Caenorhabditis elegans: one gene and its partner. The protein of the gene in region 1 interacts with the protein of each later gene in a pairwise test. Each region holds a gene or a part of one and is shown on either strand. Other genes may lie near its edges.

Evidence for each region.
Region 2: the proteins of C01G6.4 (region 1) and ubc-13 interact in a two-hybrid assay, tested with the Caenorhabditis elegans proteins (one study listed by BioGRID).

The regions. Positions count from the first base shown.
Region 1 is NC_003280.10:9,270,576-9,275,129, forward strand, and holds C01G6.4 (RING-type domain-containing protein), read right to left. Parts: upstream 2,468-4,554; 5' UTR 2,450-2,467; coding exon 2,385-2,449; intron 2,203-2,384; coding exon 2,145-2,202; intron 2,097-2,144; coding exon 2,028-2,096; intron 1,978-2,027; coding exon 1,889-1,977; intron 1,383-1,888; coding exon 1,151-1,382; 3' UTR 690-1,150; downstream 1-689. Other genes in the region: C01G6.3 (Lipoprotein), read left to right, coding at 1-74, 122-577.
Region 2 is NC_003282.8:2,922,049-2,927,895, forward strand, and holds ubc-13 (Ubiquitin-conjugating enzyme E2 13), read right to left. Parts: upstream 3,644-5,847; 5' UTR 3,643-3,643; coding exon 3,363-3,642; intron 2,324-3,362; coding exon 2,156-2,323; intron 983-2,155; coding exon 975-982; 3' UTR 543-974; downstream 1-542. Other genes in the region: fbxc-45 (F-box C protein), read right to left, coding at 1-68, 114-181; manf-1 (Mesencephalic astrocyte-derived neurotrophic factor homolog), read right to left, coding at 5,663-5,829.

The DNA of each region.
Region 1 (4,554 bases):
ATGATATTCCACAATTCGTCCTGATCACTCAACAAGCTGTAATCCCAATTGAGCTTGAAAAATGCAAAGTTTTGGTTAGTATTACTGAATACTCTTTCAAATTAAATGTTTCAATTTTCAGTTCGGCACGTACATTTACTGCTTCGAAGAATTTGACACCCAATGCGACGTTCGTACTCTCTCGGATTGCCCAATTTACGCCTACAAGACCGAAGATGAGTTTGTCTTCCGCAGAAGCTTCGGAATCGGATATATTTACGCTACGACCGAGTCTGATGTTGATTTGTATCAAAATGGCACAAAATCAACCGTTCCTGGACGTGTCTTCGTGCTCCGAACTAGTTTTGGAACTCCAACCACTGAAAACGGATCACCAGTTATGATGCCCGATATGACACCTCATCACGAGCCGGAGAAGAGCCAATTCGCCGAATTGCTGCCAGAATCGCAGAAGATTCTGAAGTCCGACACTCCGACACGATTGTATACCACTCAACGACGTGGTGTGAACATGCTAAGCCATAAGCATTACGATCAAGGAGCCTGGGATGCCGTTCGAGACTTTTTCGGATTTTAATTGACTTTTAATTTTAATATTTTTTTCACCACGAGTACCAATTTCCATCAGGGATCCAATCCTTTTTTTCAAATTTCAATTTCCAATATGAATCTTTTAATAAAACAAGTTTGACAATTTGACACTTTATGCGTTAAAAAAAAGCAATTTATTTGAATTTCAGAGTAGCCGGAAGTTTTTTTGGGAAGTCAATAAAATGAGTATCAGATACATAGACAGAAAGTGTGTACCGAGTGGTGAATTAAAGAAAAGCTACAGAACAGAGAGCGAGATGAGTGAACAGAAGAAAGAAAAATAACACGTTGGGATGGAATTGACTAAAAAGATGAACAGGAGATGATGAGGAATTAAAGACGACTACAGTATGCACAACATGGGGATTTCAGGTGGAACAGAGCAAAAAAGAAACAAAATGAAAATGGTGAAAGATGAGTGAAGAAATGGTATAGTTCATATGTACACGCATTTCTATATACAGACGTTTGTAATGGGGACAAATACAGCCAACACTGCAAACCAAACTCGAAAACTTCTACTGGGCAAGAAAATGGGAATATTTTTTGCAGAAGGCATTCATGGTTTGGCAGTTGATGAGGAAGTCGGCGAGCACACGATTTGTTGTAAGGATTGCATATTATGGGCAGTTAACGAGGAAAGTATGGTTGAATCGACTGGTTCAAGGCACGAAGGACATGTGAATGACTTCATAAGCCATTCGTCGACGCATTCTTGATGAAACGAGTGCATGCAAGGAAGGAATCGGATTCTCTCTCCTGGCTCAAAGTCGATCATACAGATGGCACATCTGAAAATGGTTTTTTTAAAAATTTAACTAGAGCGCATTAATACTGATTATACAGGCGCGAAATTTTGCGCCAAAGTGCGATACACGGTCTCGACACGACAATTTTTTGTTTAATGCGAAAAGGTGTGAGCCTTTATAGAATACTGTATTTTCAAACTCTCCTTGCAGCGGAAATTTCATCATTTTTTAAGTTTCGTGAAAATGTATGTGATTTTTTAATCACATATATTTGAGTTTTCAAAAAAGAATTAAAAATCTATGAAATTTCCGTATATATCTATAGTTTAAAATTACAGTAATCTTTAAAGGCGCACACTCTTCCACAGTACACAAAAATTTTGTCGTGCCGAGACCGGGAACCATATTTTGTGAGTGAAATTTTGCGTCTGGGTGATAATAATTTTTTCAACACCTCTGCTGTAGCTCGAACAATAATTGATATTGGTCAGATTGTAGTTTGAATAATTTAGTTAATTTTTCATTTAGATCCGAATTTCAAAACTTACTCATTACTGGTCATATCTCCTCGAAATACATCAGCAGGGATTTGCTCGAGAAGTCCTCGAATTCGGTTTTTTTTTGCTTCGTCGAGTTCCTGAGAATTTTTTAAAATTTAATTAAAATTATTCTGCTCTAAACGCTCACTTTTCCCTGTTCCTGTGCTTGTCGTTGTCTAATTACGTTGTGTTGATAGAGCTGATTTACGTACGAACTCTGAAAATTTCAGTTTAATTAAATTCAGATTCTTCAATAATTTCTTACGCTTTGTTGCATCATTGACGGATTTGTGAAGCTCATCGCTGCGTCTGATGATCGGCTCCTGCAAAAATAGTTTATTGAACTTGTTCTATACTTCAAGCATACAATCTAATTGTATTTAAATTTTTAAAAAATCGACGTGTTTTGGTTAATACAACTTCCGTTTTCATTTTTGTGGTATATCACATCAGTTTAGCTTCATCGACATCTCACAGTATACTAGTGAATGACAAAGTAAATTACCGTCGTAGTGGCGTCTCATCGTGCTGTCTGACGAACCCGAACAACGACGGCAAGCAGTTTCCCATTGTCGATCGAAAATCAAGCTGAAAAAAAAGTCGAATATATGAAGATGTGACAAAATGAGGACATCGGAGTATTTCTCAGACGACTAAAGATGAGAATTTTCTACATGACTTTTCCGGATGGGTCTCGCCACGCGGGCAACAAGTTACTGTAATTCGTGTCAAAATACAGTTTGCCATAGCGTTATATTTCTCTAATTTAATTTAAAAAATTCTGACTCATGATTAAAAAATGTATATTGTACAATTTCGGCCCGTAAATTGACACGAGCTACAGTAACCCACTGCTCGCGCCGCAAGACCTTTTAGACGTCTAATTAATAGTAAGATAATGTTCAAACGTCCATGCATGGAAAACCAGGAAGGAAAATTACTCATAATTACACATCGAACTTTAAGAACAACATCACTGCGACTTCTTTAATTAATCAGGCTTCCCAGAAAATCAATGAGAAAACATTTTTAGCGACTTTGTGAAACATTTTATGTGTATGTGTGTCTGTGTGTTTGGGTGTGCACGGAAGCTCTCGTCAAATATTGATTCTCTGGGAAACCGGGAATGACTTTCCGTAGTTTGCACGTATTTATGCCCAAAACAGGTCTCGAAACCAAAACAAATAGGACATGAAGACCCTTTTTTAAGGAAAAGAGTTAACAATAGACTTAAGAAGTGAGACGATTTAATCAGTTACTGTATCTAGGTGGTAGCTAAATATACTAAATATCTTTAAATTATTTGACTGATCATTGCAGAATTTCGTAATCCGTTCTAAAACATCAAGAATCATAGGAAATGCATTAGCAACATTTTTATACGACATAATCGTACAAAACCTAATCGATAGTAAACATTAATGTTGTCTATTGATAAGAAATACAACATTTCGATATATATTCAAATTTAAGCATGTTTCTCGCGAGGAAAGTCTAGACTAAAAAGAAATAACTAATAATTTTTGAAGTGATCAAAATTTGAAACTTAGATTCTAAAAACTTGAATCGATACATGTGAAAACAGGTGAAAAAAAGCAGTACGACCAAAAGTGGTTGTGTCTCGAAGCAGTCTTCTCATTTTCTCTCTTTCACTCTTTCTCTCTCTGTTCGATTGCAGCTGTCTCTTTGAAACGAGAGTTCATTGAGCCATAAGAGTTTCAGACGATGAGACAGCTGAAATGAGAGTATACGAAGAAGAAGAGACGCAGAGACATAACCGCATGACTTGGGGACACTCATGCCCACTGGGGCCCCGCCTTTTCCTTCTTCAGCTGTCAATTTTGTTGACGGAACTTTATTTTTTCAAATCATATCGAACAAAATTTTTTATCAAAGAGTCCTAACTTTTTTTTTGGGATTTCTAAAACTACGATCCAAACCCTGGGATACAGTAACCTTTTTCGTATTACAGGAACGCAAAACTCGGAGAATGCATATTGTGCGACATATTTGACGCGCAAAATATCTCGTAACGAAAACTACAGTAATTATTTAACTGACTACTGTAGCGCTTCTGTCGATTTACGGGCTCAATTTTCAAAATCTTTTTTTTTTTCAAAAAGTGACAGCAATATTCCATTTTCTTTCGTTTCTTCGTGTTATTTTCTCATTTTTTGCTCAATTTTATTCATTTAAAAAATCGAACGCGTAAATCGACACAAGCGATACAGTAATCATTTAAAGAATTACTGTAGTTTTCGCTACGAGATATTTTGCGCGACGGGCTACTGTATTGTTCTCCTAATTTTTTAAAAATTGTCGTCCCAATTTCACTGGTCAAAATTCCAGAAAGAAAAATGAAAGGAGTTTCTGAGGCAAAAGATTGTGATTCGTATAAATTATAAATTGCTTTTTCAGAATTATTTTCTTCAAATACAGCATCGCTTTGTTTGGAACATCAAATTCGAATTTATTTCCACTCTCAATGTACTTAAATTTACATAATAAATTAAATATCTGTTAAGCAATAACTGAAAATTAAATAATCGACATTTTCAGATAATTAAATCAAACTTTATCAAACTTTATTCGTGAACACCGAACAGTAATGAAAAATACAAATTTTAGCAAAATATCAAAGATTCGGGGGACACCATTCTTTTTGATGTGAAATC
Region 2 (5,847 bases), on another chromosome or scaffold:
TCTTGATAATCAGAGGTTGCGATTTTTCGATCTTTACAAGAGATGGGCATTGTGCGGCCAGTCGGAATCTGAGAATTATGTATTTAGTTAATTACAGAAACTGTTTGTCTCACCTTTTATTCGCCTCCAAGTGTTTGATAATGCACTGCATGGATAGATAGGTGAGTGGCTTCGAGTCCATGTTTGCAGAAATCTGAATTAAAAATTTTTTATCGGTAATTGCTTCAAATTTCGCAAGAAAAACATGAAAAAACACAGTTAAAATTCGAAAAATCGAAAGAAAAATCAAAAAGCTACAGTTGAACACATCGCGATGAAACCCATGCAACAAGATACTGTGTGTCCCTTTAAATTTACAGTAATATCAGCGTGCATTTTTTCGGCATTTCTCACTTTCGGCAATCGGCGATTCAGGCAGTTTCCAGTTTTTAAAATTTCTATCACAATATCTACTATTTATTCTTCTATTTATTCTTGCATTTTTTCCGGTTGAAAACCATCAGGCTACTGCTGGAAATGCCTTCAAAAATTTCTCAAAAATTCTCAAAAAAAATAACGACTTTATTCAAAAAATCATCAAAATTTCCAAAAGAGAAAAAAAAATCAATTTCGATGGAAGAAGATTTTCTGGAAACTGGGAGAAAAAAAGAAGAATTTAAATTAAATGGACGACGACGGTTTGATGAGGATCGTGAGACAACAGAGACAAAAAAATTTTTTAAAAAATTCAATGGGATGGGGAGGAAATTGTAGAATTTCGAGACAAAAAACCGGGCGGGGACAAAAAAAATCAATATTTAGATATATAGTAGAAGATGGGGAAAATCGAGATTTTTATGCAATTCATACAATTTATTGGAAGTTCGTAAGGGGGCGGGAAAAGGCGGGACAAAGAGCAGGCTGAGAGAATTTCGAATTTTTTTTTGTTTGATGTGATTTTTTGTAGTTGTTCTAGAGGCGAGCTTCGGAGACGATCAGGCTTCTGAAAAAAAATTATTAATTTATTTTTTAAATTGTTAAAAAAAATTTATTAAAATGCATATTTATTGTTGGGTCCCACAGCGAAAACTAGGAAAATCTACTGTTTTCAGAGCCGAAATCGAAAATTCGAAGGGTCGATTTACGCAGCCCGTGTACTCCTCGAGGAGAAGTGGGAATGATTTTTATACAGTTTTTTAACATTAAAACTACCAAAAAAATGGCTCATAAATTCAATTTCCAGCTGAAAACTGCTTTTAAGACACTAAATACTTCGATTTTCACTGAAAAACTGGAATTTAGCGCTAAAGTTGTTATAGTTATGTAAAATTTGTGGAAAAGTCGATGCGAAAACGGTCCAAAATCAATCATTTTAGCGCAATTTTGGAGCAAAAATCGAAAAATCGAACTAGAAACCTCCGAAATTGGCACATGTCGATTTACGCAGCTCGTGTACTCCCCGCGGAGAAGAGGGGTGAAGCACATGGATTTTGAGGCGAAAATTGTTGATGTTGGCCTATTTTTTCCTGATTTGAATCTTTAAATCACCAATTTAGGTCTAAATTATAGTGTTTCTGATAAATTTTTATTTTCGATTTTTTAAAGGTTGAAAAACTAAAAAAAATTCGAAAATAAAAATTTATCAAAAAAGCTATAATTCCGAGCAAAAATTGATGATTTAAACGTTCAAATTAGAAAAAATAGGCCAAAATCAATAATTTTCACCTTAAAACCCGTTTTTTTCACCCCCACTTCTCCTCGGGGAGTACACGAGTTGACGTAAATCGACATGCGCCAATTTCAGGGATTTTTAGTTCGATTTTTCGATTTTGGCTCCATAATTGCGCTAAAAGTATTGTTTTTCGCCGTTTTCGTCGACTTTTCCTGAAATTTTACTTAAATATAGCAAATTTAGCCGTAAATTACAGTGTTTTCCGTGAAAATCGATATTTTTAGTGGCGTAAAAGCAGTTTTCGGCTGGAAATCGGATTTACGAGCCATTTTTTGATAGTTTTAATGTTAAAAAGGTCAAAAACTGTATAAAAATCATTCCAACTTCTCCTCGGGGAGTACACGATCGGCGTAAATCGACATGAGGTCGAATTTTCGATTTTGGCTTCAAAAGAATTGCAAATTTTCATCGATTTCGTGGCGAGACCCTAGATATATTACTGACGAGCATAGTTCATCGTCCATTGTTTTGCAGTCTTAATCGCCTCGGCCTCATTCGTTTTCCATTGCTCGGCGACATCAGTTGCCAGTGGATCTTCCGGATTTGGAGCCGAAAGAAGAGCCTGAATCGACAGAAGAACCGTGCGAATTTGAAGAGCCGGCGACCATTTATCTGAAAAATTGGGCATTTTTTTTCGAGAAATTCATGTGAAAAAGCTCAAAATGAGCAGTTTTTCGAGATAATTCGCATTAAAATAGCCGAAAAATTGAACTTTTCTATGGATAATTTGATTAAAATGCGCAAAAAATGAGATATATCTATCGAAATGCTTTCTTTTGGAGTAATTTTTCGATAAAAATTGGAAAAAATGCGCAAAAATAAAGAAGTTTTCGAAGAAATTACACGAAATTTGTAATTAAAAATCGAATTTTACTATCTCTCCATTGAAATTACTAAAAAATCAGATTTTTCAGCAATTTTAACAAGAAATTCGCTTTAGAATGATTAAAAATAGCTAATTTCGATCATAAATTGAAAATGTCCCTCGAAAACTGGGGGTTCGCCGAAATTTTCGCAATTTTGAATAAAAATTGCCAAAAAAACGCCGTTTTCCGAGATTTTCGATGAAATTTGGTTAAAAATGCGCAAAAATGATACATTTTCGCAGTTTCTTTGAAAAAAATTTCACAAAAAGAGGGTTTTTTAAAATTAAATTTCGAGAAATTCGCATTCGAATGCACCTAAATATATTTATTAGAACAAAAAAAAACACGATTTTTCTCGAAATTTCGTCTATTTTGTCAAAAAACGCTCAAAATAAGCTGTTTTTGATCCATTTTTCCCATTAAAATGCGTAAAAATTCATATTTTTTGGATTATTTTCTCATTATGCGAAAAATGAGCATGAAATTCGGATTTATACGCTCAAAAAGAGCTAAATTTGATTTAAATATTAAAAAATACAAAAAATTCATCTAAACTCGTGAATATTGTTGAAAATGGGCTGTTTTTCGAAAAATTTCAAGTAAAAATATCCAAAAAAGCTAGATTTCTGAATTTTATCAATAAATTTGTGTTAAAACAGTGTAAAAATAGCAAATTTCGATGAAAATTCAGAAAATTCTCTAAAAATAATTGATTAAAACGCTAAAAACCGTTTTTTAAAAAATTTTTTCACTAATTTTTCAAAAAAAGGGGAAAATCTATTCACCCTTGAGAATATCGAGACAAATTCTGCCGAGTTTATCAATATTCGGATGATAGATCTTTGTCATGAATCGAACTTTCGGTGCAGCCATCGGATACTCTTCCGGAAGGAAAAGCTCCAACTTGAAGACACCACCAGCAAATGGAGAATCGTCTGGCCCGGCTATCATGACATGGAAGTATCTGGCGTTGCTCTCGTCTGGATTTGCCGATATTCCGGGAACCGGATCCGCGAGAAGTCGTTGTGTCTCTTTGATGATTCGACGCGGAAGTTGCCCGGCCATTCTGCAAGAAATTTTATTGTGTGTTTTGGGGCTTTTAAGCTGATTTTTCTATTAGAAAAACGGATTTTTGAGTGCAAAATGGTGAAAACTGAATAAAAAAATATATATAAATGTATAAATTTTGGCTGAAATAAAAGAAAAAAGACTAATAATTCAAGGTTTTTTAATTAAAAATCAAAGTTTTTTCTCGAAATATCGGAAAAGGGCCATTTTCCGCAAAAAAAAAGTTAAAATATCTAATTTCCTAGGGGAAACTATGAATTTTTACTTTAAAAAACTGTTTTCCTCGAATTTTCAACGTAAACATCGGCCAAAAATCGATAAAATTGTGTTTTTGGCATTTCCAACCAAAAAAATGCTCGTTTTTAGCGATTTGGAATAATTTTTTTGGAAAAAAAAATCGATTTTGGTGCAAAATAATAGCAAAATTGGATTTTTGTGCAGTTTCCATGGAAAAGTGGAATAAATTTGATGGTTTTTGAGTGATTTTAGAGCTTTTCCCAGCGAAAAACTGTTTTTCTGTTAAAAATTCAACAATTAGACGGATTTTTGAGTGCAAAATGGTGAAAACTGAAGAAAAAAATGTATAAATGTATAAATTTTGGCTGAAATAAAAGAAAAAAGACTAATAATTCAAGGTTTTTTAATTAAAAATCGAAGTTTTTCTCGAAATATCGGAAAAATGCCATTTTTTTTAGTACAAAAAGTTAAAATATCTAATTTTCTGCGGGAAACTATGAATTTTTCAATTAAAAAACTGTTTTCCTCGAGTTTTCAACGTAAACGTCGGCCAAAAATCGATAAAATTGGGTTTTTTGTGATTTCCAACATTAAAAAACGCTCGCTTTTCACGATTTCGAATAATTTTTTTGGAGAAAAAAATCGATTTCGGTGCAAAATAATGGCAAAATTGGATTTTTGTGCAGTTTCCATGGAAAACAGTGATGAAATCGCATATTTTTGCAGAAAACTGACATTTTGGAGTAATTTTAATCAAAAATAAACGCAAAAATGTGTATTTTTGACGTTTTTGGCATTACGAATTCGTTATTTTTGCGGAAAATCGATATTTTCAGCACCAAAATGTTGAAAAAGACGCGTTTTCTACGGGAGCTTTCAGTTTTTCATCTGAAAATATGTAAATTCACCGGTAGTTTGAGTGAAAAAATCAATTCAACAGTGAAATTTCGAAAAAATAGGATTTATGTGCATTTCAGAGTGAAAATTGGCATTTTTGACGTATTTTCCATCAAAAATAATGCCAAAAACTGAATTTTCGACGTTTTGAGCATTTTGAAAACGCTAAATTCGAGAAAATCGATATTTTCAGCAAAAAAACGCTGTAAATTCTCGTTATCCACGCGAAATCTTAATTTTTATACTAAAAATGTATAAATTTAACGGTAATTTAAGTAAAAAATCAATTCCTTTGCGAAATTTTTAGAAAAATTGGATTTCTGTGCATTTCCCAACGAAAACTGTTATGAAATCGCATATTTTTGCGGAAAAATCACATTTTTCGGTAATTTTAGTAGAAAATATCGCCGAAAATTGATTTTTCGGCGTTGAAAAAGCTGAAAATGGGTATTATTTTCCATTTTTACGTATTTTCCATCAATAATAACGTTTCGAAATCGATAAAATTGGTTTTTGGAGGTTTTTAAGGTGAAAATCGATATTTTCAGCCTAAAAATGCCAGTTTTCGACCGTAAATCTTCGAAAATCACATTTTTAAACTGATTTATTTCCTGGAAAACCTAGAAAAAAGGTAAAATAAATTATTAAAAACCGGATTAGAACCGAAAAATTGGCAAACTGAGGGAAAATCAGGGAAAAAAGCTTCATTTGACCAGACCAGTGGGAGGAAGATGATGATGAAACACGAAAAAATTAAGGGGGGGGGGGGAAATCAATAAATAAATTATTATTAATAAAAAATAGATTTCAACAAGTAAAATTGCAATAAAAACACACACGCTAAAAACACGATTATCACATGTAGAACGGCATGAAAAAAAAATCACAGCTCTTCTTTGACATATTTCGGCTTAAGCTCCTCGATGCGCTTGATGAGCTCGGCCTTCTCGGTGCATCCCTTGCACACCTCTCCCCACTCGCCGAGAATGTTTTTCAGCTCTTTCACGCGCATTTTCTTCAAATCGATCGTCTTCCAGTCGAGTGGCTTGTCTGTGAAATTTGGGGATT